Linked DNA regions of Anolis sagrei. The protein of the gene in region 2 purifies or fractionates together with the protein of the main gene of each other region. This does not show direct contact. Links are inferred from orthologs where the notes say so. Each region holds a gene or a part of one and is shown on either strand. Other genes may lie near its edges. The genes, in order: CALR, HSP90B1 and OS9.

Region 1 (11,188 bases), on a different chromosome or scaffold from region 2:
CCTCTGCCACATTTTCTCACCTTTGTCTTTCTCTATATCTCCATAGAATTTCCCAGATGAAAGCACGAATTTTCCATAGTCCGATTTGTGCTTTGATTCTATCCAACGGCCCGTCCAGGCATCTAAAGAAATAAAAACAACATCTCTGTTGACCCACTATGTATTTTTGCCTATCATTTGGCTTTAAACATTGCACAGAAATCTACTTCATAAAAAGATAGTAAGTGAAATACATTTGTCCTGAAAGCAACATGTGATGAGCTATTTTTATCCTTTTTGGTTACAACCTAGTTTTGCAACAAGATTCCAATTTTTAAAAACACTGTATCTTTACGGTTATTTTGTGTTTTCTGGGAAAGCTATGTAGCCACTTTGTTGCAATTAAATCTTCTGATTATTCATGGTTTCCACTCCTGTTCTAGCAAGCTAGATTAAAGCATGACTTAGTACAAAACAGAAGGCTGTTGGAGTGTTGATGTGGTGGATAGTTCTGGATTACCAAACTATCCCAATTCTTGCTTAACCATAACATTTAGATGGCAATGCCACCTGGGTACAATGCATGGCTTGAACGCTGTTTACAAGTAGTGCCTCCCCTCAAATGCTATTTACAATGACTTGGAGCAGTTTCCACTGTATAAATAAAAAAAAGTTCTTTCAACGATCTTTAAAAAATGAATACCATAGTTTTCAATAATATGATTGATGTCAGAGGCATATTTTCCCCATGGTTCACTTGTTACAGTATGGGAGCTTAATACTAAACGATTTCCCAATTCTGTGGCTCTTCCTCCACACCATACAGCATAGGGCTGCTGAAAATTAAAAGGAACTACCATGCCCAATGGCCAAACCTTATTAAGAGAACTCAAGTAAAAGTAGTAAGCACATTTTTGTGAACAATAGGAATTTTGGGCATTATCTAAAATTTATATGATCTTCCCTTACTTCATAAGGTCAAAAAAGTCTTCAAATCAAAATACATAAACAAAAACATAATTAAAAAACTGGCACAACCATATCACAGAAAAACCAACGACAGGACCACACTATCTACTATTTTATATTATTTTATATTACACTGTAACTAGCATTTCTTGCTCTCCCAAAAGAACATCAGCCAAACTTACCCTTTAACTTCCTCCTAGCAGCACAGAACAGGAAAGAATAAAGCTGCCAACCTCAGACAGAGAATTGGAGCTTATACCTAGCTAATGTATGCAATGAAAATATTCTGATGCATAAGGGGCCTAACAGCACAATCCTAAACATACGTTTATACAATCTGCTCAATGGTATTCATTTCTATGCAAATGCACAGAACATTCAAGACAAACTAGAAGACAATCCTTTATTTTTTAATTTTCTACTCCATCGTGGAATAAAATTGGACACAGGATTCTTTAGAAAATAAGCATCTCTAGGTCGCACTGGGCTTACCTAAATATCACCAATTCAGCCAAATCTACCTGGGAGACCCACATCTTATTATACAAACGCTACACTATCATCAGAACGGTCTTAATAACCTATACACCAAATTGCTGTTGCATGTAAGGGCCCTTCCACCCTGCCCCTATATCCCAGGATCTGATCCCAGATCAGTAGACCCTCATATATCCCAATTTAAAGTAAATAATCTGGGATCAGCTCCTGAAATAAAGAGCAGTGTGGAAGGGCCCTAAGTTTATTTCACACTGCAAACCACATTCTATGCTTTGACTGCACATACACTCACACACATATAGACCAGAGAAATAACTGCAATGAAATAAGCACAATAGTTCTCTTATTTCCACACTGCTGAATAAAATCCCACTTTTTCTGCTTTGAACTGGGATATATGACAGTGTGGATTCAGATAAGTCAAAAGTAGATATTGTGGGATTTTCTGACTTGATATTCTGGGATATATGGCTGTGTGGAAGGGCCCTCAGTGTAGTCCCAGACTGAGGAAGCATACACCTGTCACTCTTGATCCTCTGCCAACAGGCGGTACGTGTGTGTCGGGAGAGACATCCCAGAGTGAACTATTTAGTCCACATTCACAATCCCTGTGGCCCTCATTGATTACAGTGTAATTATCAACTCCCCAGTGCGTTTAAACTAGACACAACAGTCTTTTTCCTGTCACACATACTGCCAAGTTCTCAATTTCCTCTTCCAAATGGATCATAAGCACACACAATTCATGAGTGGGTTGTTGTACGTTTTTCCCGGGCTTTATGGCCATGTTCTAGAGGCATTCTATCCTGATGTTTTGCCTGCATCTATGGTAAGCATCCTCAGAGATAGTGTGGATTCAGATAAGTCAAAAGTAGATATTGTGGGATTTTCTGACTCGATATTCTGGGATATATGGCTCTAGAACATGGCCATATAGCCCAAAAAGCCCTATAACAACTCAGTGATTCAGGACATGAAAGCCTTCGACAATACTTTTCCTTTTTGATGCAAAGTTTAACAAATAATTCCTCCTTAGATGTTTTGGGCTAAATGCCTTATAGAGCAGATCTTTGAGTCAATTAACGAATTAAGATAAATCAACTCTGTGTATATTTAGTTGAATCAAATAATGTTTTGGTATATACTAACCATTCATTTTAAGGTTGTGATTCTTGTGGCTGAAAGGAACAGATGCCCAAGAGAGACAAATACTTGAGTGTGTGATCCAATCACATCCAGAGAGGTGACCTCACTACCTCTGAGGATGCTTGCCATAGATGCAGGTGAAATGTCAGGAGAGAATGCCTGTAGAACATGGCCATATAACAAAAAACAAAACAAAACAAAAAAAAAACAAAAACCTACAACAACCCAGTGATTCCAGCCATGAATGCCTTCGACAATAAATTCATGAGTGGCCACTTAAAAATAGGGTGGACATGAGCAGAGCTCTTCCTTTTCCTCCCTTGAGAAAAAGCCCACCCCCTCCCAATTAAGCAGCAAGTTGCCTCCCTCATATATATTCCTATTTGTATTTATTCTTGGATCCTAAGAACCCACAATTCAAACAAGATATTTCACAGGGTTGTTGTAGGTTTTCCGGGCTATATGGCTATGAATTGGATTTTATGAGTCTACACTGCCATATAATCCAGGTCAAAGCAGATAATCTGGATTTTAAATGGCAATGTAGAAAGGGCCAGTGACTGTAGATTCAACATATCTGGAATCCTTCCTCCTGTCATCAATATTTTTTGCATTTCCTGGTACACTTATACTCTGGGGTAGGCATGCGAATGCAAAAGCAAGCAAACCTAAAAGCTGCAGACCCTTTCTGATCTTGGTAGTTAAGCTGGGACATTTCTGGTTACTCCTTGAATGGGAGACCACTAATGAATCCTAGTTACTATAGCTTGTATTTCTGAGGAAAGAACTGGGAAAATCATCTCTGAATTCTTTACCTACAGACTTATCACAGGGCAAAAAAGGATCCTAGGAGAATGTACTGTCGAAGGCTTTCATGGCTGGAATCACTAGGTTGTTGTAGCTTTCAGGCTATATGACCATGGTCTAGAGGCATTTTCTCCTGACGTTTCGCCTGCATCTCTGGCAAGCATCCTCAGAGGTATTTCACACATCATGAGTGGCTTGGAAAGCAAAACAGGATGGATATGAACAGAGCTCTCCCATTTTCCTCCCTTGAAAGCCCTCCAGTAAATGCCCTACCCCATCCCCAAATTAAGCAGTCAGTTGCCTCCTTCATAATATATATCCATTCCCATTCGTTTTTACATTCTTGGCCAGGCATCCAGGTTTCTCAGCCACTCTTTACTTGGAGCAGAACCTGAACCATCATGGCACAATTCTCTCTAAGGGGAACTCTGTGCCAGCCTAGAGGGGATTGATCCCCTCCCCTCCCAAAAGCCTCCATCTCTACTATGGGGTTGTCTATGGGGAAACTGCAATGTCACCCCCAGCCTTCCTCGAGCCCTAGATGGCCACAATCCAAGATGGCGGGGGGATGAAGACAAGAGAAAGACCAACCCAGGCTCAGCCCTGCTTCTCTCCATCCCCCTCCCCTTTTGTTGCACTCCTCTTAGAGGCCTACTGTTGTGATTTTACCCTCCTAACGACCCCTGGATAGAAGGGCTCCAGAAATATCCCTCACCCACCCATCCTCTCTCCCTCCCTGAGATGGGCCCATCCCTGCTGGAGGCCCCCATTCATTTCCTCGCCGCTCACCTCCATCCCCAAACTCCTCCCGGAAGTACTGCGCAGGCCCAGCCGACACCAGGGCCAGCATGGAGCAGAAGGCCAAGAAGAGAGCCATGTCTTTTCCCCGCGCGCAAGGTTCTCCTCCTCGAGCCTGACAAGGGCAACCGACTGCGGCCAGCGAAGTGCTTTCGCTGCCCTTTTATACCGGGCTGGATCGAACGCCCGCCTCCGCCGTGTCCCGATTGCTCGCGCCGGGCCGGATGGACACTGCCATTGGTCGGTCGGAAAGACGGCGGGTTGGGCAGCGCCCCCGAACGTTGGCGTCCCAGATGGCCGCTTCTGATTGGATACTACCTCTGGCCAATGGGGCACGACCACGCGTTCGGGGGGAGCCGCCCCCTCCCTATCGCCTTGTGTGCGTCACTCTTCCTTTTTCTTTTTTTTTTTGCACAAGCCCCACGTGACCCCGGCGGGATTTAAAGGGCCAGCTCAAGGCCGCTTTCCTCGCTTCTTACACCCATTCATTGCAAGGCTCTGAAAGGAGGGTGAAAGCACATTGGAGAGTGGGAATCATAGAATCATAGAGTTAGACCAGTGGCCAGGACATCAAAGGACATTTAACCAACTACCAAACTCACAAGTTTTGTATTTGTCTGTTTGCTTGCTTGTAATATAATGGACTGGTTGCTCTGACAGGACAAATAAATAGAGTTAGACGAGACCTCATGGGACATCTAGTCCAACCCCCTGCCAAGAAGCAGGAATATTGCATTCAAAGCACCCCCATCCAGCCTCTGTTTAAAAGCCTCCAAAGAAGGAGCCTCCACCAGACTCCGGGGCAGAGAGTTCCACTGCTGAACAGCTCTCAAAGTCAGAACGTATCTCTCCTTACAAACCCTTTAGGAATTTAAGATCTTCTAGGGAGGCCCTGCTCTCGGCCCTGCCATCTTCACAGGCTCGATTAGCGGGGATGAGGGATAGGGCCTTCTCAGCGGTGGCCCCTCGGTTGTGGAATGCCCTCCCCAGGGACAATAGATCAGCCCCCACCCTCTTAACATTTCGCAAAAAAGTTAAAAACTGGCTATATGAGCAGGCCTTCCCAAAGGCAGTGTAGCTTTGAAACTCTGATCTCGGAACGGTTGGACAATGTGACTGGACAATGACTGATTAATGAAATGTGGAGGACTTATGGTTTTTTATTATGTTTATTGATGTTAATTGTAATGATTTTTTAAATCTGTGTTAAATGTTTTTAATGTTTAAACTATTTTTGTACTGTTGTGGGCATCGAATTGTGCCGTTTTGTAAACCGCCATGAGTCGCCCTCGGGCTGAGAATGGTGGCATAGAAGTGTAGTAAATAAATAAATAAATAATGTTCTGCTGGAATCTCCTTTCCATCTGAAAGGAGCATAATGGGGGTTCCAGGTTGCGTCTGCCCATGAGAAAGATTGGTTCCAGCTCTCCAAGCACTTGTGCTTTACTTATGATATATTGTATATACATCTAATATTTATAATATTAAAATGTAATACAATATAATACTACTACTAATACAATATTATAATTATGTATTCCATATTACATGTAATATCACTAATAATATTACAATATAATGGCATAGTACTGATATTGTACTATGCTAATAATTACTTACTTACTTAGGCGATCCCTCGTTGTCCAAGCAGGATAGTCTTCCAGGATTAATGTACTGGTGGTTGGTCCATAAGTGTCTGTGGAGCCCTATTCTTGATCTGCATCTTCTCCCGCAGTGAGGGCATTGGTTTCCAGGTGGAATGTGGTCTCAGTCGGGGTTGTCTTAGCGTGCCTTCCTCTTGGCACATTTCTCTCTTTCACCCTCTATTCGTGCCTCTTCAAATTCTGCAGCACTGCTGGTCACAGCTGACCTCCAGCTGGAGCACTCAAGGGCCAGGGCTTCCCAGTTCTCAGTGTCTATGCCAGAGATTTTAAGTTAGGCTTTGAGCCCATCTTTAAATCTCTTTTCCTGTCCACCAACATTCTGTTTTCCATTCTTAAGTTCAGAGTAGAGCAACTGCTTTGGGAGATGGTGGTCAGGCATCTGGACAACGTGGCCGGTCCAGCAGAGTTGATGGCAGAGGACCATCGCTTCAATGCTGGTGGTCTTTGCTTCTTCCAGCACGCTGACATTTGTCCGCCTATCTTCCCAAGAGATTTGCAGGATTTTCTGGAGGTAGCGCTGATGGAATCGTATCAGGAGTTGCATGTGACCTCTGTAGACTGTCCACGTCTCACAGGCATATAGCAGGGTTGGGAGGACAATAGCTTTATAAACAAGCACCTTGGTATCCCTATGGATGTCCTGGTCCTCAAACACTCTCTGCTTCATTTGGAAAAATGCTGTGCTCACAGAGCTCAGGCGGTGTTGCATTTCGGTGTCGATGTTGACTTTGGTAGAGAGGTGGCTGCCAAGGTAGCGGAAATGGTCAACGTTTTCTAATGTTATACCATTAAGCTGTATTTCTGGCACTGGAGGGGGGTTGGCTGGTGACTGTTGGAAGAGCACTTTGGTTTTCCCGATGTTCAATGACAGGCCGAGCTTCTCGTATGCTTCTGCGAAAGTGTTTAGAGTGGCTTGTAGATCTTCTTCTGAATGCGCAGAGACGACATTGTCATCAGCGTACTGGAGTTCTGTAACAGATGTTGTTGTAACCTTGGTTTTGGCTTTCAGTCTGCTGAGGTTAAACAGCTTGCCATCTGTCCGATAGATGATTTCCACTCCGCTGGGAAGCTTCCCATCAACAAGATGAAGTATCATAGCGATGAAGATGGAGAATAAAGTTGGGGCAATAACACATCCCTGTTTGACACCTGATATTGTACTATGCTAATAACAAATTGACCATACATATAGCAATAACCTATAAAACCAACTTTACAATAAAGCATAAATAAACATTTTAAAATTATTTAACAGATATAAATACAATTGTTGTGGGAACTCCTCAATACAGATGATAAACTTTACTCAACTCACTGAAAGATATAGCCTTCCTGTCATTCCAAATTAAATATCTTCATTAAAAGCTTGCTTGAACAGGAAGGTCTGAAGATTATTATTTAAATAATAAACATTTTATTTAAATAATAACCATTGACAAATTCCTGACCATAAAATGCCTGGCTTCGATTAAAAGCTGCTTCAAAAAGGAAGATCTGCACAGCTTTCCTGAATGACATCAGTGTGGAAGCTGATCAAACTTCCTCCAGCAGCTTTGGAGCCACTCTCGAGAATGTGCTTTCTCTGGTGGCTTTTAAATGCATGATGGCCCTGGACTGTGTGGAGAACAGAGTCTCCTTACTAGACCTTAAAGGTCTGCCATTTATTAGAGGACCATTGTGGCTTAGTGGTTTGAGCATTAGGTTATGGCTCTGTAGGCCATGGTCTGAATCCCAGCTCGGCCATGGAAGCCACTGGGTGACTCACTCAATAGTTTGATATTCTGCATTAATATTGTGTTTTCTCACTTCTCCCACCCTTTGCTCTTTTCTGGTTTGTTTTGTGTTACTGGCATCATCATTGAAACCACTTGTGTCAAACTCAAGGCCCTTCATATCATTTAATGTTGTCCTGCAGATGCCTGACTACAGCTCCTATATTTTTTGTTATTAGAGCTGATGAGAGTTGTGATATAGTAACACCTGGAAGGCTGCAGTTTGTTTTGTTTAGTCACGAGAGTCAGGGTTGGATTTAGGTACAAGACTTGTGGATATGATGTCTGACTTTAACATGTCCGCTAACATTTCCCCAATCTTAGACCCTCAAGGGTTGTTGGATTGCCAGACCCATTATCCTCAGTCTGCATGGCATATAATCAAAAGTGTTGGGAATTGTCATTCCCTAACATCCAGGGGCCCAAAATGGGTAAAAACTAAAGAGACCCAACCACTATGTAAATATCTCTATATAAATAAAAATGTAATGTTCGTTCGTGGGATTAATATAACTCAAAAACCACTGGACGAATTGACACCAAATTTGGACAGTGTACACCTAACAACCCAATGTATGTCTTTCACTAAAAAAAATGATTTTGTTATTTGGGAGTTGTAGTTGCTGGGATTTGTAGTTCACCTACAATCAAAGAGCATTCTGAACTCCACCAATGATGGAATTGAATCAAACATGGCATACAGGACTCCCATGATCAACAGAAAACACTCAAAGGGTTTGGTGGGCATTGACCTTGAGTTTGGGAGTTGTAGTTCACCTACATCAGAGAGCACTGTGGACTCAAACAATGATGGATCTGGATCAAACTTGGCACAAATATTCCATATGCCCAAATATGAACATGGAGTTTGGGGAAAATAGGCATTGACATTTGGGAGTTGTAGTTACTGGGATTTATAGTTCACCTACAAACACAAAGCATTCTGAACTCTACGAATGACAGAATTGGGGCAAACTTACCACATAGAACCCCCATGACCAACAGAAAATACTTCAGGCCACCCAGTCCAACTCCCTTCACCAGGGCAAGAGAATGTAATCAAAGCCCTCCTGAACAAGAGCCATCCAGCCATAGATATAGATAGATATATATGATTCACAGAGAGAGAGATATAGTATCATAGATTTGAAAGGGACCCCTAAAGAAGGACAATTATATGTTGCATGTTCCAGAGTAGGCAAACCAGACAATCTCCATATCAACACTGACAAAGAAACAACAAGAAATACTGTTTACCCACAAGCATAAAGGCATTACATATATTAGAAATCAACATTTGCTCATTATTTTATTTTCCAGATCACCAGACTGAGCCAAAACAATGTGTGGCAAGGGATGGCTAGTATATATATATAGTTGGTCCTCTGTATTCATGGAGTCAATGGTCCTTTGAAGGCAACCATCAGGCTGAAACCCTCAATGAAAATAGGCTTGACAGCCCAAGGCAGAAAATGTGTAGCTCTCTGCAAGTTGCTGGATTGTAGTGTTCATCAATCTCTGACACAGACTATGCTAGCTAAAGCTGATGGAAATTGCAATCCAGTAGCGAGTGGATAGCTACATATTCCTTACCCCTGACCTAAACAGTAATAATGAATGCAATAACAGCAGTAATGTTAAGGAATTATTGGCTGGATTTTATTGAGCACAGCATATATCTTTCTTTTTGATTTCTTCCCATTTTAGGCTGTCTGTTGTTCATTCGTTCAGTCGCTTCCAACTCCCTGTGACCTCATGGACCATCCCACGCCAGAGCCCCCTGTCAGCCGTCACCACCCCCAGCTCCTTTAAGGTCAAGCCAGTCACTTCAAGGATCCCATCCATCCATCTTGCCATTGGTTGACCCCTCTTCCTTTTTCCTTACATTTTCCCCAGCATAATTATCTTCTCTAAGCTTTCCTTTCTTCTCATGATGTGGCCAAAGTACCTCATCTTTGCCTCTACTATCCTTCCCTCCAATGTCTAGGCTGTCTAGTCATTGGGTTTTTCCAGGTGGTATACAGTTCTACTAAAAACATAAGATACAAAATAAGAAACAATAGTAAATAGTAAGAATAAAATTAGTAAATAGTAAGAATAAAATCAGCAACACAAGGTAAAACCCATAAAGAGAACAGAAACAAGGAGTGTAAGGATCTAAAACAGGGCTGGGCAACTTGCAATCCTCCAGATGTTGGTTGAATGGAGTTCCTATAATTTCTTGATCATTGGCCATGCTGTTACATAGGAAAATATTAACAATGCTGAACAGAGCTGATAGGAATGGCAGTCTATTTAGAAGGCTATGCACAGATGATCTAAAAGTACAAATAGTTCTTAACAGACCTAGACAAATAAAGTGACTCCCCCCTGCAACTGGTCATAAAAAGTGCACCCAGAGGAGGACTTTAGACAATGGTTATGAGACCCAAGAAGGTAAATACTTTTAGCAACATGCTGGCAAGCCAGTTGGGATTTTCAGCTTCATATCTAGGTAACTGTGACAGAAATTTAATAAGCAATGTTTCCACATCCATGCATCATTAACCGAAAGTCAGTCTATCTGTGCAAAACACAGGAGCCTTGGGAAACGAGAATAAGCAGAAATGATGACAGCCCTACTAGAACCTTTACACATTATTAACTGAAAACCTTGCAGAACTCATGAGTCAGAGACAAAATAATTAAACTTTTATAAAGCCATCTTACGTATTGTGTCACTGAAAACAAACTGTTAAGTATTCTCAGTCAAGGCAAGATTCAACATTTCATTTGACAATAGGAATGACAGCATCCCAACTGTGCTGTGATGGAAATGAGGAAGACCAATCTGACATTTGCATTTCTCTCAGACCAAAAATACATGGCCATTATGTCGTAAGAATGCTGCTATATCCAACATGTGATCAACCAAGAAGGGAAATACATACAAAACTAGAAAATATTTTTTATTATTGAATGAATTAGCAGCCCACCTGCAACCTCAGTGTTTCTGAAAGCCCAGCCAAATAACCAGCGATATGCCAGGAATACCATACACAAGCAGAGGCTGACAGCTTTCCTCACACCAAGCTTTCCTCAGAATGACATATCTTCATCACAAGTACGTCTGGCAGGGATGAGAGACAGAGCCTTCTCAGTGGTGGCCCCTCGGCTATGGAACACTCTTCCTAGGGATATTAGATCGGCCCCTTCTCTTTTAATATTCCGAAAAAAAGTCAAGATTTGGCTTTTTGAGCAAGCATTTGCAGATACAATATAACAGACATAGAGAAAAAAACAGAACAACTGGATGACACTACTGGATAATGCTTTTAACTAGGAGACTCAAAATGATACATGTTTTTATTGACATTGATTGTTTTATTTGGTTTTATATTTAAATTAACTGTTTTAATTGTATTTTATGTCTTTGATGCTGACTGTGAACCGCCCTGAGTCGCCTGCGGGCTGAGAGGGGCAGTATATAAATATAGTAAATAAATAAATACCTAGAGCATATACATTGTACGTCCTCATGCACAGCAGCACCACGTATTCTCTCCTCCAGCAATT
Region 2 (10,716 bases):
GAAATTCACTTTTCAGGCTCAAATGTTGTATGTGGGTGTATATTGGCCCATCCCAAATTGCTTTTTAATTTTTTTTAGTATTAAAATACAATGCAAAATAAACATGTCAGACTGGCTTTTTTAGGCTTCACCAAGGACTCACAATCACTCCAAGCTCCCTTGTTTAGAAATGGATATATATAGAGATTTTAAAGATTGTGTTTTAGCACTGATGTTGTCCAAGGTTCGTGTCTCTAGGTCTAATGACTATTCTAGCATATTCATTAATGCTCAGGTTCTTATCACATCACATTCTGTATATAATGCCTTTGATATTATGGCTCCTCCTCTTCACCACTTGCTGAAAAAAATGTTATTTCCTTCCTTATCAGTAGTGATGCTTTCAAGCATCAATGTGGTAATTCACCACCACCTAGCATCTTTCTGTTGGGTCAGGTTGAGATGAGAATTGATAAGCTGTAAGAAGATAAGACAGTATCCAACACTAATCATACCCAATTTCAAAAGGTTATTTTCTAGCCAGGATTCCTAGGAGGATTTATCACTGCAGCTAAATTATTTAGTACAAGTATCACTGCAGCTAAATTATTTAGTAAAACACTATGTATAAATCAACCCTATTTTGAAAAAAAATTACATGCTTAAAACTTCACTTTAACAATAGCACATCTAACAAAGTACCTATGTTCCCAATTAGATTATGACCTAAAACTCTTTGTATGGATCACTCTATTGTGTTTTTGATCAAAGCCAACTAATCGAGCCAGATTTTTCCAGTCCATATTGGAAAATGTTCTACTTGAAAGACTCCATCTTCTTCTTCATCATCATCATCATGATAGCTGATGAATTTAGCTATATGCCCACACGGGATCAGCAAGTTTGTGTTACAACAACAGAAGAAATGAGACTTGCATCTTAACTACCTTTCATTAACTCTATTTAGATAACATTTGTTCCAAGTGTGCATTTTACATCAACTGTATTGATATTTTAGAAAACAAACCTCTGAACAACTTCGTCATCTGTTCGAGATCCTTCCCTACTTTTACCCAGGTCATCTTCTACAGTGCCATCCACATCAATCTCATCAGCCTGGGCTGAGGCTGTAAAAAGAATTTGGCTAGTTTAGTCACTCAAAACACAGCTATGTATCTCTGCCTGCTTGGAACAGAGACAATAAGAATTATACTGGTATAGCCAAGAATGGAGGAACCAAGATGGAATGTGCAGGACCATCTAGGGTCCAATTAAGACATTAGAACAGCATGATGCACTGGGAAGCAGATGAGGCAACCTTCAAAACCATATCCCATTATAGTTGGGGACTGTCCAAAAAAGTCTACTAAACAGAAAAAAAATCTTTTGATTGGGTAGACATTTTCTTTCAGACTTCAAGCACATGGCAAAGAGAAGCTATTGGTCCAATTGTGCTCCTTAAGAGATGATGATGAAATTAAAAGTTTCCTAAGCATTTCTATCACAAGATAGATGGGACTATGACTAATATGGGCTGCACCTACATTGCAGAACTGATACTGTTTTGTCACCCCTTTAACGGCCATGGTCCAATGTTATGGAATTGTACTGTTGTAGTTGGGTGAGGTTCCAATATTTATTTATCTTGTACATTTGTATCCTGTCCTTCTCATCCCCGAGGGGGAAATCAAGGTAGCTTCACAACAGGCACTCTTTCAGTGACATCCACATTCATAAAAATACATTTAAAACAATTTATTAAAACATTACATTGATAAGGCATTTGTTTAAAATCACACAAGTTTAAAATCCAAGTCCGGGTCAGTCCATTGTCATTCATATCACCTGACTCTTATCCTTGATTCCTGCCTCTATCATTCAAAGACTTAGTCCCATAAGGTTTTGAGTTTCTTTCTAAAGGACAGGAAGGAGGCGGCCAATCCGATGTCACTGGAGAGAGAGTTCCACAGGTGAGGGACCACCACTGAGAAGGCCCTGTCTCTTGTTCCCACCAGTCACGTTTGTGATGGTGATGGGATCAAGTGTATGGCCTCTCTAGCTGATCTTAAACTTTGTGATGGTTCGTAACGAAAGAGAGGACAGGTAACCTGGGCAGGAACTGTTCAGGGTTTAAAGGTTAAGACCAGGGTTCCTTAAACTAAGGCCCGAGGGCTGGATATGGCCATCCAAAGTCATTTACCTGGCCCTTGCTCAGGATCAACCTAAGTCTGAAACAACTTGAAAGCACACAACAATCCTATCTCACCAGCCAAAAGCAGGTCCACACTTCCCATTGAAATACTAATAAGTTTATATTTGTTAAAATTGTCCATTTTAATTATCGCATTGTCCGTTTTTGCACAACAAATAAGATACGTGCAGTGTGCATAGGAATTGATTCATGCTTTTTTTCAAATTATCATCCGGCCCTCCAACAGTTTGAGGGACTGTGACCTGGCTCTCTGTTTAAAAAGTCTGAGAACCCCTGGCATAGTGTATGCATTTCACTTTGTATAAAATATTTAAATTGTATACTAATCAACCTCTAGAGCAAGGGTCTTCAAACTAAAGCCCAGGGGCCAGATGCAGCCCTCCAAGGTCATTTACCTGGCCCTCACTCAGGGTCAACCGAAATCTGAAATGACTTGAAAGCACACAGTAACAACAACAATCCTATCTCACACTTTCCATTGAAATACTAAGAAGTTTCTTTTTGTTTAAATTGTTCTTCATTTTAATTATTGTATTGTTTTAAAATGTTTTTTCCACTACAGATATATGCAGTGTGCATAGGAATTCATTCATGTTTTTTCAAATTATAATCTGGTCCTCCAACAGTTTGGGGAACTGTGACCTGGCCCTCTGTTTAAAAAGTTTGAGGACCCCTGGCATAGTGTATGCATTTCACTTTGTATAAAATATTTAAATTGTATATGAATCAACCTTTTCCCAGATCATGTAATTTTTACATGACGCAAGACATTTTAAAAAATGACTAGTTTAATGGGCTGTTTTATGTTCTAGAGGCATTCTCACCTGACATTTCGCCTGCATCTAAGGTAGACCTCACTACCTCTGAGGATGCTTGCCATAGATGCAGGCAAAACGTCAGGAGAGAATGCCTCTAGAACATGGCCATATAGCCCAAAAAACTTACAACAACCCATTAAACTAGTCTGGTGAGCAACCTGGCTGCTGACCACTAGACTAGTTGGAGCTTCCGGGCAGTCTTCAAAGGTGACCCCTTATAGACTGTGCTGCAGTAGTACATTTGGGGATGTAACAAGAGTGTGGACCACCGTGGTCAAGTCTGGCTATGTGTTTTTTTTTGTCGTGTCAGGAGTGACTCCTGGTGTGAGAGAATTGGCCGTCTGCAAGGATGTTGCCCAGGGGACGCCTGGATGATTTGATGTTTTTATCATCCTTGCGGGAGGCTTCTCTCATGTCCCCGCATGAGGAGCTGGAGCTGATAGAGGGAGCTCATCCGCCTCTCCCCGGATTCGAACCTGCGACCTGTCGGTCTTCGGTCCTGCCGGCACAGGGTATTAGCTATGGGTGCAACTGAGTTGTAGTTGTGCAAAAGCTCCCCTAACCACCATCGAGACCTGGAGTTCTTTGGTACCTTGCAAACCTGCAACTCCCAAAATCCTATATTATTGAGTCTTGGCAGTTTAAAGTGATGTCAAAGTGTATTCATTGTGCTGCCATGGTTGCAAATCCTGTATAGCAAGTTTGGGCCAACTTGGGCCCTCAGAGTGTTTTGGACTTCAACTCCCACAATCCCTAACAGCCTCAGGCCCCTTCCTTTCCCCCCTCAGCCGCTTATAAGCGGCTGAGGGGGGAAAGGAAAAGGCCTGAGGCTGTTAGGGATTGTGGGAGTTGAAGTCCAAAACACTCTGAGGGCCCAAGTTGGCCCATGCCTGAGGTACTCCATAACACTAGGCCGTGATAGTTAAAGTAGAACACAACGAAGAGCTTTAAATCGAGGAGGCCTCGGAGGCGCTGCTAGGCCTGGAGTTAGGAAAAGAAATAATGTGAGGCCTTCCCAAGAGTCCCCTTCCCCTCAAACAGGCTTCCCTCAGAATGTTCCAGAACCCCCTCCCCCTCTTCTTCCCCTCAACGGCGCCTCACCGGCCAAAAGCAGGACGAGTAGGAGGCCGAGTCCCCACAAAGGCTTCATGTCGTCGGTTCGAAGCGCACTCCGGACTGTCCCTGCCTCCCACGCGGCGCTGAAGTGTGAAGAAAGTGGGGGAACCTCCTCAGCGACACCTGAGGAGACGAAGCCACTAATCAAAGTCAACCCGCCCCCCCAATCCCGGCCGGCTTATCACTCGCGCACGCCGCGAGGCGGAGGCATCGCCACCAATCGCGGCTCACCACGCCAAACGCGGAGCCAATAGGAAGCCCGAAGGGGAGGGGCGGAGCTCTCTCTCCGCCAATCGGCGGTTTCCAGGTGAGGGAGTCCAGCGCCAGAGCGTGGCCGGGCCCGATTGGTTGTTACCAAGGGAAGCAACCAATCGGGAGCAAGGGCGGGAGTAATAGGCCTTGGTTTGGTTTCCTTTTCCCCTCCCCATTTAAAGAGGTTGAATCAAATTCTCCAGAATGTGTTCCAGGGAAGAGCTTCAGAACCAAATAGAATCATAGAATCACAGAGTTGGAAAAGACCTCATGGGCCATCCAGTCCAACCCCCTGCCAAGAAGCAGGAATATTGCATTCAAAGCAACCCTGGCAGATGGCCATCTAGCTTCTGTTTAAAAATAGAAGATTTTTTTAAAGGAAGGGGATTTAGGGGTGGGAGAAAGCTAGGAGTTATTTTATTGGTTGTATTTTAGTATTTAGTCATTTGATTTGAGATTGAGATTGAAGTTGTCTTTGTTTTTACAAAATAATTCAAAACCTGCAAGCAAAAAATACTATATAAAATATAGATGTGAATTCTGTTACATGTTTATGTTTGTAATATTTATGTGTTTATGTTTATAATATTAATAATGAAATATATATACTATAATTTAAAGTATGATATATATAATACTAATGGTATACTGCTAGTGTATATATACTGTGGCATAGTACAACATAAGGCATAATTATAGTATATGTGATATTACTAATAATATTGCAGTATAGTGATATAGTGCAATTTAGTACTAATATTGTGCTATGCTAGTAATACATCTATATAAATAAAAATGTAATGTCTTTGTTTTTACAAATTCAAAACCTGCAAGCAAAAAATACTATATAAAATATATATGTGATTTCTGTTACATGTTTATGTTTGTAATATTTATGTGTTTATGTTTATAATAATAATGTAATATATATACTACAACTTAAAGTATGATAAAATATATAATATTAATAGTATACTGCTAGTGTATATATACTGTGGCATAGTACAACATAATATATAATTATAGTATATGTGATATTACTAATAATATTACAGTATCATGGTATAGTGCAATTTAGTACTAATATTGTGTTATGCTAATAATACATCTATATAAATAAAAATGTAATGTTTGTTTGTTGGATTAACATAACTCAAAAACCACTGGACAAAATGACACCAAATTTGGACACAATACATATATCAGGCCAACGAGTGACTATCACTCATAAAAACACTGAAAAACACAGCAGGAGAGACTTAAAAAACCAAAACAAAAAAAAAACAACAAAAATACATTACAACGCATGCGCAAAACCACACATATATATGCAAACACACATATATACACACAAAACACATACACAGACTGGGCCACAGCAACGTGTCGCAGGGTACGGCTAGTATGTTATATAATACTTATAGTATAGTATAATATATACTACAACTTATAATACAATATATTATATAATACTAATAAAATACTATACTGGTAGTGTAGTATATATATTGTATATAATAAAACATAATAGTTATAATTTATATTACGTGTGATATTACTAATAATGCAGTATAGTTGTATAGTACAATATAGTACTAATATTGTGCTATGCTAATATATTGCATATACATATACTTTTATAATATACAATATACTACTAATAATAATACAATACTAATAATAATACAATGAGACCAGGCAAAGTTTTTAACAAGGTGACACTATGAATTTATATTTTATTGATATGTTTAATTTTTATTATATGTTATGTTTTTAATTGTATTTATGATATTGTAAGCATTGAATTTTGCCCTGTTAACTGCCTTGAGTCGCCTACGGGCTGACAACGGCTATATCTTTGTGTGATATGTGTTGTTATTTTATATGGTGTGTTTAGTAATGTTCAGTGTTTTACCAAGGGAGAGTCAGTTTTGATATTTTATGGTGTTACTTATCGATGGTATTGAATTGTTGCCAACACTGGGAACTGCCCTGAGTCCCCTTTGGGTTTGACAAGGGCAGTATACAATTACCACAAATCAATAAATAAATTATATAAAATGATATAATGTTTTATTATTGTATATTTATATATTTAAGTTATGTTTTTGATTGTGAGCTGCTTTGAGTCTCCGTATGAAGGAATAAAGTGGAATAGAAATAAATATATAAATAGATATGTGTATACTTTAGAATATATATATATATATATAGTGTGTGTATTTTATACGATTTATGTTTTTATACATTTTATATTTATATAATATATAATGTATGATTAATATATACTTTATATAATGTATGTTATGTATGTGCATGTGTGTTTTGTGATATGTGTTTGTGTATATGTATATATAGTATATCACATTCTTCAAATTTAATTTAATTTTACTTTTAACACCTGGCATCCCAAGTTGTGTGTGTGTGCCTTCTATAATGATAATTTATGTGATGTGTGTGTGTGTATGATAACTCACTCACATTTTTACTTTCATTTTAGCAACCTAACACATGCCAGATTATGTGTCTATTGAGAATAGACATGAAGTAAATCAGAGGAAAATCAGCAGGATGGCCTTTCAGTATAATTGCAACAGAAACATCTGCATGCTTTCACTTAAGAATTATTTTAAATACAGCTCCCTAACCTCAGACTTATGATTTAATTAAGATGTGGCGAAAAGAAAAAGGGGTCAGGCAGAGTGGCAGGGGACTAAATCCATTTAAGATTTATGTTAAAATACAGTGGGGAATAACAAAATTCCAGCATGTAAAACCCCATAGAATGGCTGCTTAGAGTCTGCACTACATGTGTTGGTGTTGCCACACATGATGTCAGTGTTGCTTTACATGCAAGCCGCCTTCTAATATTGCATGATGGGTACTGTAGTCTTTGGAAGGAAGAGGCATCAGTATTTCAGATGGTTTGGTAGACACCCAGATAGTAAACTAGCTGAATGAGAAACATACCTCCGAAGTCCCATTGAGCGCAAAGAGGTTTGTTTTGTTTTGTTTTTTGTTTTGGTGTCAGGAGCGAGTTGAGAAACTGCAAGTCGCTTCTGGTGTGAGAGAATTGGCCGTCTGCAAGGATGTTGCCCAGGGAACACCAAGATGTTTTACCATCCTGTGGGAGGCTTCTCTCATGTCTCATCCCACTCCCTGGATTTGAACTGCAGACCTTTTGGTCAGCAGTACTGCCAGTGTAAGGGTTTAACCCATTGCGCCTCCGGGGCTCCAACACAAAGAATAGGGATGTCATATTACCATATAATCCAGTTGAAACTGCATTCTATCGTAAGTGTAGACCCATATAACGCCATTCAATGCAGTTCAAACTGCACTATCTGGTCTATAGTACACCAATTATATAGTGAAGTCCACAGTGCATTATATGGCAGTATATATCTAGCCTACATTGCATAACTTTATAACACACAACAGTCTTAATTCCTGTGATATGCTGCCTTGTACTTCAGGCTGAATCCATTTAGGACTATATCGACTGCCTTAATTGGAAGCAGCTCATTATCTCAAGTCATTAGGTTTTGCAAGTCATTAATTTTGAACATTGCTACTAGTTACATCATATAGTTGCTGAAATCGTGGATGTGCCAAATTGAGGCTCTGCTATTAAGTGTATGATATTGTTTAAGAGACTGTTGTGCTCTTTTTAAATGAGTTATATTACACTATTAACACTTATCCATGGACTTATAACGGAATCCACTTGCTTTCAAACACAGGTGGTGAACCATAGTGTCAGCTGAATACCTAACAGACAGTGCACTGCCTGTCCTTTGAGATATAAAAGCAAGACTTTTGCATCAGCTGTTGCAACAGGACATAAAATGTCCATTCTGCAGATTATCATTTTAAAATAGCAACCAATTGCAGTGACCATTCTCACTAGCGTATGTATGAAATGAGATTTTAAGTGATGTCCAAATACAAGCCTTTCCCCCAAGATTTAACCTCTTTCAATGTCTTTATAAGGTAGGAAATGTTTCTCCTTTCATTCAAAGTTTTAGAGTGAGGAGATCTGATAAGGGAGTGAAGTGGAAAATATAAGTAACAATGCTGAACTGCAAAACATATGCACTAGTCCTTAGTTAACATTTGATATGCTGGCATACTGTTTAGTCAGTGCTATTTTAAGATGATTAGATTATTTCCTTTGATGTTCCATTTCAGCTTTGTTCAACCATGTGTACTAAGTACTGATGTGGCTACTAATTAGTATTTGATATCTTAAAAAAAAACTCAACAAAACTTGGAAATAGTTTTCTCTGTCATCCACCAAGCTGCAAATTTACAATTATACAATTATATATTTTTCGCAGGGTAAACAACACGCCTGATAAAAAGAGCATCAGTATTCTCTGGTATTTCAGTTTTCTCACTGTACTCTGCCAGTGAATTGGTTTGTAGCCTTGAATTGGATACAGAAAAGCGCAATCCTCATAAAGAGATACATTATGTTGTTCCCCATGAAGAGTTGAAATGCATTTTTCTGCCTTTGTTTCCTATCCTCTTGTAACCATGATGGGATATGACCTATATATGCTTTGATTCCCTCTCAAGAGTAAGCATCGTAAGCAAAATGCAGTCCTGTGACAGTATCATTGCTGCTTTTCTTCCCTCTGTGATTAAAAAACACACACATCATTTCCTGATTTAAAAGTGTTAGGGCTTTTAAAATTAGCACAGTGTATTCTGTGCCTGGAGCCCCCGGTGGCGCAGTGGTTTAAAGCACTGAGCTGCTGAGCTTGTTGATTGAAAGGTCGCAGGTTCGATTCCGGGGAGCGGCGTGAGCTTCCACTGTCAGCCCTAGCTTCTGCCAACCTAGCAGTTCGAGAACATGCAAATATGAGTAGATCAATAGGTACCGCTCCGGCGGGAAGGTAACTGCGCTCCATGCAGTCATGCCGGCCACATGACCTTGGAGGTGTCTACGGACAACGCTGGCTCTTCGGCTTAGAAATGGAGATGAGCACCACACCCCAGAGTCAGACATGACTGGACTTAATGTCAGGGGACTACCTTTACCTTTACCTATTCTGTGCCTTTTGAGCCACTTCATAATGGAAATATATATTTTGGTTTTTTTAAAATTGCATGCTCCATCTGACCATTCTTGCATTCATTTTGTAATTTCCTGAACATAGAATCATAGAGTTGGAAGAGACCTCATGGGCCATCCAGTCCAACCCCCTGCCAAGAAGCATGGAGAATTTGGTAAAATTCAGAGCGTTTAAGTATCTTTATATCTCATGAATGTGCATTGTTAACCTCTTATTTATATATAAAATGTGTATATCCTTTCTGATTATATTTCTACATTTCATCTTTGTACACTGAGAGTACACAGTCTACAGAATTCTTTTGGGGTGCGTCAACACCATAGAATTAATGGAGTTTGACGCCAGTCTAACTGCCATGGTTCAAAGCTATGCAATTGCGGGAACTGTCATTTACACTGTATAATTAATGTAGCTTGTTACCAGTTTAACTTCCATAGTTTATTGCTATGGAATCATGGGAATTCTAGTTTGGTGAGGCAGAGAAGACTAAAGATTTTTGAAAATTATAATTCCCATTATCAAATTGCTGCCTGGTTGTAAGCCGCCTTAAGTCACCTTCAGGTTCAAGAAAGGCAGGATAGAAATATAGCAAATAAATAAATAAATAAATAATTATTCCATAGCATTGAGCCCTGGCTGTTGAAGTGTAATGCAGATGCAACCTTATATATAAAGTAGTATATAAAGTAGTTATGCAAATACTACCACTATCACCTATATAGCACCCTCAATGTAATTCACTATTTGAATTTCAACAGAAGCTTAAATATGAGAGTCTCAGATTGTGAGATGATGTTTTCAACCATAGCACACTAACCTAGGAGTATCTTTCATTCAAATACGTTGGACTTTTCATTAGGTAGTCAGGATTTTCCAAAAAAGTTCCCTTGTATATATCTTGTTTATTTGGAATTCATTTTTATTTATTTAAGATATTTTTACTCCTCGTTTCTCTGCAAGCAGACCCAAAGCAGCTTACAACAAAATCAAACATACAGTACAAAGTTAAAACATGGTTAAAATCAAATCTTCATAACCCATTACACCTCCCCCTTATAAACCCCTTCAATATCCAGCAATTAAACCTTAAAACCTTTTGTATACAGAAAACTTGGAAAATAGACTTGTAGTTAATATACATATATGGTGACTATTTGAGTTTATAGTAAAAAGTAAAGGTAGTCCCCTGACATTAAGTCCAGTCATGTCTGACTCTGGGGTGTGGTGCTCATCTCCATTCCTAGGCCGAAGAGCCAGC
Region 3 (10,468 bases), on a different chromosome or scaffold from region 2:
GGTTTGTTGTTTATTCGTTCAGTCATTTCCGACTCTTCTGACCTCATGGACCAGCATACGTCAGAGCTCTCTGTCAGCCTTGGCCACCCTCAGTCATTTCAAGGATAACATCCATCCATCTTGCTCTTGGTCAGCCCCTCTTCCTTTTTCCTTCCTTTCCCCCCAGCATCATTATCTTATCTGTAGCCCTCGGTGTCACAATGGGTTAAACCCTTGTGCCGGCAGGACTAAAGACAGGCCAGAGGTTCAAATCCAGGGACAGTTCAGATGAGCTCACTCTGTAGGCTCCAGCTCTCCATGTGGGGACATGAGAGAAGCCTCCCACAAGGATGGTAAAACATCCGGGCATCACCTGTGCAACATCCTTGTAGATGACCAATTCTCTCACAGCAAAAGTGACTTGCAGTTTCTCAAGTCACTCCTCACATGGAAAAAAATCTTTTCCAAGCTTTCGTGTCTTCTCATTATGTGGCTAAAGTATTTCATCTTTGCCTCTAATATCCTTTCCTCCAGTAAGCAGTCGGGCTTTACTTCCTGGAGTATGGACTGCTTAGTTTGATTGTCTTACAGTTCAAAGCACTCTCAGAATTTTCCTCTAACACCACAGTTCAAAAAGTGTCTATCTTCCTTCGCTCAGCCTTCCATATGGTCCAGTTCTCACATCCATAGGTTACTATGGGGAATACCATTGCTTTAACTATGCAGACCTTCATTGCCAGTGTGATGTATCTACTCTTCACTATTTTATCGAGATTGGTCATTGCTCTCTGCCCAAAAAGTAAACATCTTCTGATTTTCTGGATGCATCTACAGTAACCTTCACGACTAGAAATACAGTCTGTCACTGCCTCCACGTTTTCTTCTTCTGTTTGCCAGTTATCAATCAGTCTGGTTGCCGTAATCTTGCCGTTAAACTGCAACCCAGCTTTTGCACTTTCTTCTTTCACCTTGGTGATAAGGCTCCTCGGCTCCTCCTCACTTTCAGCCATCAAAGTGGTATCATCTGCATACCTAAGGTTGTTAATGTTTCTGGCATCATTTTCTCACTCAACCTTCCCATATAGCTTCAAACCAGGTCTTTGAATTTCATCCAGCAGCCAGTGGAGTTGGGTTTTCCCTGTATCAAACAAGCAAACTGGCTGAAGCTTTTTGGACCAGCTGAAGTTTCCAAACATTCTTCAAGGGCAGCCCCATGTAGAGCGTGTCACAATAACCCAGCTGTGATGTAGGCAAATCCTGTGTCACTGTGGCATCTGAAGGAGCAGATCCAGCTGGCAAGCAAGCATTAAATGTGCAAATGCACTGAAACCTGAGCTTCCAGGCTCAGGATTGAAGCCAAGAGTACACCCAAGTCACAGACCTTGGCTGGATTAAGTTTCAATTTGTTCACATCCATTATGGGCATTACAGGTGAAAGGAACAAATTTGGGACAAAAACAATTTCCTTGGATTTTGATAGAAAGGAGTAGTAGATGTTGGGTGCTATCCACATACTGTTGACACCAAACCCCAAGCTCTGGGCAACTTCCCATGTTTTGTGTATTTATTAAATAGCATGGAGGACAAAGTGAGTCTGAATGATCCCACAGGCCAATGGCCAAGGGGACCTGGAGTTCTCCAGCACCATGTCTCCACTATCTTATAACAGCCTTCTTCAGGCAAGTTGGAATTCTGTCATGTTTTAGCATGACACTGACCACTCCGTCTATTTAGTAAATGAATAGCCTTTTTTTAATAACTCAAGAAGGCCAAGTCTCTAACGCACATATGGCAGTTCGTATCTCTCAAAGAAATCTGTCTACATTCTTGGGTGGCTCAAATTAAAAAGCAATCATCAACAAGTTAGAGTCAAAGTTACATTCACTGCATCTGTACCAATTCTAGTGTCAAAGTCAGAGGGGATATAAGCAATTTCATTTGCCAAATGCCAGATAAACTATCCATAGCAAACTGTTTATGTTCTATGAGTTTCTTGAAGATCTTTTATTCAGAGTGTTCCCCATAGTCATAGAATAATAGAGTTGGAAGCTAATCCAATCTCCTACCATGCAGGAAAAGCACAATCAAAGCACCCCTGACAAATGGCCAACCAGCCTCTGCTTAAAAGCCTCCAAGGAAAGAGCTTTCACCATACTTGGAAGCAGAGAGTTCCACTGCTGAACAGCTCTTACAGATAGGAAGTTCTTCCTAATGTTCAGGTGGAATCTCCTTTCCTGGCATTTGAACCCATTGCTCCTAGTCCTAGTCTTCAGGGTAGCAGAAAACAAGCCTACTCCCTCTTCCTTCTGACATCCTTTCACATATTTAAACATGGTCTTCTCTTCTGCAGGTTAAACATCCCCATCTTTTTAAGCTGCTCCTCATAGGACATATTCTCCAGACCTTTGATCATTTGAACAAGTTCCAGTTTGTCAATATCTCTATTGAATGTTTGTGCACCAGCTGCACCCATACCTTGGGAAGTCTGACTTGGCCACCGTAGTCCACGCTCTTGTTACATCCTGTATAGACTACTGCAATGCTCTCTATGTGAGGTTGCCTTTGAAGACTGTCTGGAAGCTTCAACTGGTCCAATGGACGGCAGCCAGGTTCCTAACTGGAGCGGCTCTCAGGGAGCATACAACCCCCTTGTTGCGCCAGCTCCACTGGCTGCCAGTCTGCTACCAGTCGCAAGTCAAAGTGCTGGCTTTGGCCTTTAAAGCCCTAAACGGTTCTGGCCCATCTTACCTGTCCAAATGCATCTCCCCTTATGAACCTTCGAGGACTTTAAGATTGTCTGGAGAGGCCCTGCTCTCGGTCCCGCCATCATCACAAGCATGGCTGGTGGGGACGAGAGACAGGGTCTTCTCAGTGGTGGCCCCTTGGCTATGGAATGCCCTTCCTAGGGAGATCAGATCGGCTTCTTCTCTTCTAGCATTTCAGAAAAAACTCAAGACATGGCTATTTGAGCAGGCATTTGCGAATACTGAGTAACGGACATAAGAACGGAACAACTACATGATGGGACTGGACATTGTTCTAATGTGTATTTATTGAATTATGTTTTATTAGAGTTGTTATGATTTTATTGATGTTAATGTTTTTATCTTGTAATTGTGTTTTTGGTGGCATTGAATTTTGCCTTGTAAACCACCTCGAGTCACCGGAAGGCTGCGAGGGGCGGTATACAAATACAGTAAGTAAGTAAATAAATAAATATTCTAGGTGAGGTCTAACCAAAGCAGAATACAAAGGCACCAGGACTTCCCTCGATCTACATGCTATACTGCTTTTGATGCAGTCCAAAATCCCATTGGCTTTTTAGTTGCTGCATCAAGGGTCTGGAGATCAAGGGTCAAGGGTCTGGAGAACAATCCCTATGAGGAGCGGCTTAAGGAGCTGGGCATGTTTAGCCTGAAGAAGAGAAGGCTGAGAAGCAGGCCTGTAGCCAGAATTTTGTTTGGGGGGGGGGGGGCTGAGTTTAGTTTGGGGGGGGGGGCTGAGTCTAAGTGAAAGAGGGTCTAAACTAGCAAACCTTTTGTATCGTTACCCCAATACCCCCATGCATATGGAATATATTGAGCATGGTGATCAGATCATGATATGAATAAACATAACAGTTTAAATAATGTACCAGTAAGGCCTTCTCTCAAACCACCATGAGAATTTTGGGGAGGGGAGGGGCTGAAGCCCCCCCCCCCCCCGGCTACATGCCTGCTGAGACGAGATATGATAGCCAAATATAAATATGTGAGAGGAAGCCACAGGGAGGAGGGAGCAAGCTTGTTTTCTGCTTCCCTGGAGACTAGGACGTGAAACAATGGCTTTAAACTACAAGAAAGGAGATTCCATCTGAACACGAGGAAGAACTAGGTTCTTGTGGGTTTTTTGGGGCTATATGGCCATGTTCTAGAGGCATTAGAACATGGAATGCCTCTAGAACATGGCCATATAGCCCCAAAAAACCACAAGAACTTAGTGATTCTAGCCATGAAAGCCTTCGACAATACATGAGGAAGAACTTCCTGTGACAGCCGCTCAGCAGTGGAACTCTCTGCCCTGGAGTGTGGTGGAGGCTCTTTCTTTGGAAGCTTTTATACAGAGGCTGGATGGCCATCTGTTAGGGGTGATTTGAATGTAATATTCCTGCTTCTTGGCAGGGGGTTGGACTGGATGGCCCATGAGGTCTCTTCCAACTCTTTGATTCTATGATTCTATGATCACATTGTTGGCTCATGTTCAACTTTTTGTTCACAAAGACTCCAAGATCTTTTTCACATGGACTTGTTATTCAGCCAGGCATGTAGTTCATTCAGCACGAACAACTGTTAATGCAGAAATTCAGTTGGATATGATCTCATGAAAGCAGTAATCAAAAGGATGAAAAAGTCAGTGGTATTTTATTTATTTATTTCTCATGTCAGGGCAGCCAGTCAATTATATTACATTTCTAACAGAACAAAGCAAACAAACAGAGAAAATACAAAATGTGTGAGTTTGGTAGTTGATTAAATGTCCTTTGATCAGTATCTGGCCACTTGGAGTGCCTCTGGTGTTGCCGCAAGAAGGTCCTCCATGGTGCATGCGGCTGGGCTCAGGTTGCATTGCAGCAGGTGGTCTGTGGTTTGCTCCTCTCCGCACTCGCATGTCATGGATTCCACTTTGTATCCCCATTTCTTAAGGTTGGCTCTGCATCTCGTGGTGCCAGAGCGCTGTCTGTTCAGTGCCTTCCAAGTCGCCCAGTCCTCTGTGTGCCCAGGGGGGAGTCTCTCATTTGGTATCAGCCATTGGTTGAGGTTCTGGGTTTGAGCCTGCCACTTTTGGACTCTCGCTTGCTGAGGTGTTCCAGGGAGTGTCTCTGTAGATCTTAGAAAAGTCAGTGGTGACATCTTTGAATGACTGGGGATCCTTGTTGATGGAAGTGTCAATATAGAGAAAAGAAAATAATGTAGTACCTGTTACCAAGCATGACCCCCTCTTATTACAAATCTAATTTATAATAAGGGAACTTATAGTTTTGCCAAGGACACCTTTTTGGCCAAAAGAGCGCTGGTGTCTCATCAAACTACAACTCCCATGTCACAGAAGTCGGCCAGGGAAGGTCAAACAGCATCAAACTATAGCCCCTTCCACACAATTGACTAAAATCCCACACTATCTTCTTCGAACTGGAATATATGGCAGTGTGGACTCAGATAATCCAGTTCAAAGCAGATATTTTGGGATTTTCTGCCTTGATATTCTGGGTTATTTGGCTGTGTGGAAGGGCCCTGTATTAATTCTGTGTTGTAGGCGCACTCGCCTTCTGCCAGCTTTCCAGTAGGGCAGCCGCTTGCCATTCTGATTGGCTGCTTGGATTGCCTGAACTTCAGCCAATCGGTTTCCACCAGGTTTTTTTAGCCGCGGCTTGTGCAAGCGCTCGCTCCCCTGATTGGCCCAAGGAGTGAACCAATGGCGTTTTACCAGGTTTTTTTTCCCCACCGAAAAGCCTCACTCTCCCCGCCCCTTGGAATCAGCCAATGGTAAGCGCCCTCTGCGATAATTGACACCTCACCGGGACCATTCTCTTCCCTGGGTCAGAACGCGAAGGCAGGGCGGAAGTGGCCGTTGCCTAGGAAGGGCAGAAACAGGCGGAGGGGGCGGCCGTGCGGGGAAGATGGCGGCCAGGTTCCTGCTTTCGAGGTTTTGCGGCCCGCTCCTGCTGCTGCTCTGGGCAGCGGCGCTGGGAGGCGGAGAGGCGCTGGGTTCCTTGAACCTGCTGGAGCTCAGCGAGCTGAAGTACGGGATCGAGATCGGGGCCGAGCCAGTGATGGCCGGGCAGGTAGGCCCACCTGGATGGGGAAGAGAGGAAGGGAAGTGTCATCCATACTGGAGCATTAACGCAGTTTGGTATCACTTGAACTGCCATGGCTCAATGCTGAGGAATCCTGGGAGTTGTAGTTTCACAAGGTCGTTAACTCTGCTGAAGAGGGCTGTTGCCTCCCCAAACCCCTGACTCCCATAATTCCATAGCACTAATCTGGGGCAGTTCAATGTGGGCTCAAACTGCGTTAATTCTACAGTGCAGATGCGCCCCCAGATCTGATGCAACTGTAATTGAACTTGATAAACAAAATCAAGAGTGTAATTGTAATGTTACTTACCGTATATTAAAAACTTAGTGACAGGAAATATAATTTTTGGGTTGTTGTATGTTTTTTCGGGCTATATGGCCACGGTCTAGAGGCATTCACTCCTGACGTTTCACCTGCATCTATGGCAAGCATCTTCAAAGGTTGTGAGGTCTGTTGGAACTAGGAAAAAGGGGTTTATATATCTGTGGAATGACCAGGGTGGGACAAAGGACTCTTGTCTGCTGGAGCTAGGTGTGAACGTTTCAACTGTCCACCTTGATTAGCATATAATGGCCTGACAGAGCCTGGAGCAAACTTTTGTTGAGAGGTGATTAGATGCAGGCAAAACGTCAGGAGAGAATGCCTCTAGACCATGGCCATATAGCTCGAAAAAAACATACAATAACCCAGTGATTCCGGCCATGAAAGCCTTCGACAATATAATTTCTGCTACAGAAATGATTAAGAGAAAAAAAATTTTAGAATTATTAATGTCAGATTTAAATATAGTAGTAGGACCTAATTATATAAAGGAAACGCTTACTTCTTGGGAGGAGAGCAATGTCCAATCTTGATAAAATAGTGAAGAGTAGAGACATCACACTGGCAACAAAGATCCGCACAGTTAAAGCAATGGTATTCCCCATAGTAACCTATGGATGCGAGAGCTGGACCATAGGGAAGACTGAGCAAAGGAAGATAGATGCTTTTGAACTGTGGTGTTGGAGGAAAGTTCTGAGAGTGCCTTGGACCGCCAGAAGATCCAACCAGTCCATACTTCAGGAAATAAAGCCCGACTGCTCATTGGAGGGAAGGATAGTAGAGGCAAAGATGAAGTACTTTGGCCACATCATGAGAAGAAATGAAAGCTTAGAGAAGACAATGTTGTTGGGGAAAATGGAAGCAAAAAGGAAAAGGGGCCAACTAAGGGCAAGATGGATGGTTGGGATCCTTGAAGTGACTGGATTGACCTTGAAGGAGCTGGGGGGGGGGGGGGTGACGGCCGACAGGGAGCTCTGGCGTGGGCTGGTCCATGAGGTCACAAAGAGTCAGAAACGACTGAACGAATGAACAACAAATGTAAAATTTAAGACATTGCTTTTACAAAATGAACAAATGAAGAAACATTTAGAACCGCATACTTGGAATACTAAAAAGGATTTTGTTAAAATTCAATTCCAACATGGAGAAACACAGCGTATAGCTGCCAGGAGAGTGTACTAACTGCGTATCACTGGTATGATATTTTAAAGGAATGCTCGCCAAGAGCTACAGCTTTCTTGCATGTTTTATTACACTCCATTGTGTGGATTTGCAGCGTACTGTTGTTGATTATGAGATAATTGTTATATTTAGTGTAAAGAAAAACAATCAGACTTAATTCAAAAAGATAAAAATGGAAATGCATGTGTTCCAACAGCATTTGTGATTTCAAAATAGAATGTATTTTGATCTCAAGCTGGAAGTGTTTGTGACCAACCTGTGTGCTTGAGCCCTTGTGCTGAAGAAACAAAAGTATCTGTGAAGAAATTGAGAAGCACAATGCATGATGATATGGTGAATTGACAACTAAAGTGAGGATTCTCTGAGAGAGGAAGTATGACCTTCAGAATGGCTGCATGTTATCAAGTAAAGCGGAGCCCCCAGTGGCGCAGTGGGTTAAACCCCTGTCCCAGCAGGACTGAAGACCGACAGGTCGCAGGTTCGAATCCGGGGAGAGGCGGATGAGCTCCCTCTATCAGCTCCAGCTCCTCATGCAGGGACATGAGAGAAGCCTCCCACAAGGATGATAAAAACATCAAATCATCCAGGCGTCCCCTGGGCAACGTCCTTGCAGATGGCCAATTCTCTCATACCAGAAGCGACTTGCAGTTTCTCAAGTCGCTCCTGACTTTTTAAAAAAAAAAATCAAGTAAAGCCACAGGACTAGTCAATATAGGAACTTTAACAAGAGATAACAAGAAAACATTGTTCATTATTACAGTTGTTTGTAAAAACAACACATGCATGCAGATAACAGAAGTTAGAAGGTCTATAAAAAGACTCTCCAGAGAAAATGTGCAAGAATAGCAGTGATCAGTTCTCAACCAGTGATGAGAACTGATCAACTTGGCATGCGGACCTTTTTGTTGTATGAAGAATGATTGTATGAGTGAATGAAAACCTGACATCAAGAATTGTATAGTGAAAATGGAGCGATGAAAGTTACTTGTAAAATGTTTGAAATCCAGATCTGGTGTCTGGGAATCATTTTTCAGATCTATAGTCTTGAGTAAACAGTATTCAGTTTCCCCTCTTCTCTGGATCATAAGAACAAACTGCTTTGGGTTACATTTGTCACTTGCAAACATGAAATGCTGCTGGTATAATGTATGCTAGGCTAGTGAGACTTTCTGCCAGGTTTAGTTGGTCCTTGGTTTCTGTTTTTGTTGGTAAGCATTCCAAGTGCAGAACTTGCTTATTTTTTGTTTATGATATTCATTCATTGAGAGGCAGTGCACACTGATAGAGCTATCAGAAGCATGATAAGCTGGTGTAGTCACAGCAGGCTGCTGTTGTCTGCATTACCTGGCAACATGACGCTTTTCTTCATTATCCTTTATATATAGATCAGTCAGCTTCCAGCAGAAGCAATGTTGTATTGACAGATATATTTTAGAACAGATCTAGGGCAAACACAACTATGGGAAGAGATTTTGAAAATTCATGAAGCTTTATGGAAGGGGGAGGAGAAAAGCTGTATTGGAATTTGTGAGAGTGATTCTGAACTAATTTGGTAAATGGTCAGCATTCATAAAATAAAACTGATCATGTGGCTATCCCTTAACACGTCCCAGAAATTATAAGACCTAGATCACTGGAGGTGGAATTGAGAATATAATTGACTTCCTTTACAGGAGAGTTGGAATAGATATGTTTATGCCAAATCAATATAGTTGTATTATAGCATGAAAAGTTTTGTTTCCTTTTCTCTTTAATATGCACTTCCATTCTAGATGTATAGTATTGTACACACAGTTGCAGGACCAAGCTTACTTCCATGATGGATCAAAGTGGAACATTTGCACTCATGATGTATAATAACGGTGTCAAAATGTCTTAAGTGTCTACTACCACCCCTCTGCTATGCCAGCTCCACTGGCTGCTGGTCCATCTCCGAGCCCAATTCAAAGTGCTGGTTTTGACCTATAAAGCTCTATACAGTTCTGGCCCAGCTTACTTGTCCAAACACACCCACCCCTACATTCCACCTCATAATCTAAGATCATCTGGGGAGGCCCTGTTTTCGCACCCGTCAACAGCACAAATGCATCTGGCAGGGACGAGAGACAGGACCTTCTCGGCTGTGGCCCCCCGCCTATGGAACACACTCCCAAACAAGGTAAGATCTGCTCCCTCCCTCCTGGCTTTTAGAAAGAAATTAAAATCATGATTTTGGGACCAGGCTTTCAGACAGTAGATGTATGTAGCACTTTAGAGGGACATTGACTGGAATGGCAATACGGCTGATGAGACTGTTTTATTGATTGCTGGTCTATTGTTTTAATTATGATTTATGTTAATTGTGGTTTTATTATTGTAATTGTTATGTAGTGGCATCGTATCGATACCCCTGGTAAGCCATCCTGAGTCCCCCTTCGGGGGTAGAGAAGCGATGGAGTAGAAATACCAGAAATAATAATAATAATAATAATAATAATAATAATAATAATAAGTGTATTATGGTAAAATGCTTTTAGTTGTGTGCTTTCTAGGCACCAGAGGCTGCAGTGTGTGAATGAAGATGTATGGTAACTGGGTCAATTTAACAAGCTTGGAATTCCGGTTTCTTCCTATTTTTAAAGGGACAGTGTTCCACACTTTCAAAAGGGGGGCTTGGTGAATTTCTAGTTTCTCAAGTCGCTCCTGACATGACAAAAAAAAACCCCCTACATTAGTTACTCATAAACATCCATTTATTATTTATTTAATGATGCATATTGCATAATGATGTTTCCTGAGGGGCAGCCATGTAAGGAAGAACAACAGTCTTGTGGCATCAATGGCTCTTAACTTTTGTAAAGCATGAGTTTTTAACTCGGCCCATTTCATCAAATTTGTGGATTATTATAGAATTTTGTGATTATTATATAATGCTTGAATTAATAGGAGTGATAAAGGAATTGCTGTCAAACGTCTGTACATTGTTAATACTGTGAAGTTCTTTTAAAATATTGAAGAAGGTGAATGGTTGCTCTTAAATTTCTCTCTTGGGTTATGCAGGAATAGCACAATCAAAATGTCTCATAACAGAATACACAAGTCACCAGTTATCGTTGTGAGTGGGAGGAACCATTTTTAAATGCAGGAATGGTGGTTGTCAAGGAAGTTGATGC

What was found.
Region 1: the proteins of HSP90B1 (region 2) and CALR fractionate together in Homo sapiens (co-fractionation; 4 studies listed by BioGRID, with this or other methods). This does not show direct contact. The link is inferred for Anolis sagrei from reciprocal best matches to the Homo sapiens genes HSP90B1 and CALR.
Region 3: the proteins of HSP90B1 (region 2) and OS9 purify together in Homo sapiens (affinity purification with mass spectrometry; 6 studies listed by BioGRID and IntAct, with this or other methods). This does not show direct contact. The link is inferred for Anolis sagrei from reciprocal best matches to the Homo sapiens genes HSP90B1 and OS9.

What each region holds. Positions count from the first base shown.
Region 1 is NC_090022.1:162,446,610-162,457,797, reverse strand, and holds the start of CALR (calreticulin), read right to left. Parts: upstream 4,361-11,188; 5' UTR 4,277-4,360; coding exon 4,189-4,276; intron 123-4,188; coding exon 21-122; intron 1-20. UniProt on the Homo sapiens protein: Calcium-binding chaperone that promotes folding, oligomeric assembly and quality control in the endoplasmic reticulum (ER) via the calreticulin/calnexin cycle.
Region 2 is NC_090025.1:170,807,486-170,818,201, forward strand, and holds the start of HSP90B1 (endoplasmin), read right to left. Parts: upstream 4,312-10,716; 5' UTR 4,160-4,311; coding exon 4,111-4,159; intron 1,107-4,110; coding exon 1,007-1,106; intron 1-1,006.
Region 3 is NC_090022.1:186,667,446-186,677,913, forward strand, and holds the start of OS9 (protein OS-9), read left to right. Parts: upstream 1-5,583; 5' UTR 5,584-5,635; coding exon 5,636-5,800; intron 5,801-10,468. UniProt on the Homo sapiens protein: Lectin component of the HRD1 complex, which functions in endoplasmic reticulum (ER) quality control and ER-associated degradation (ERAD).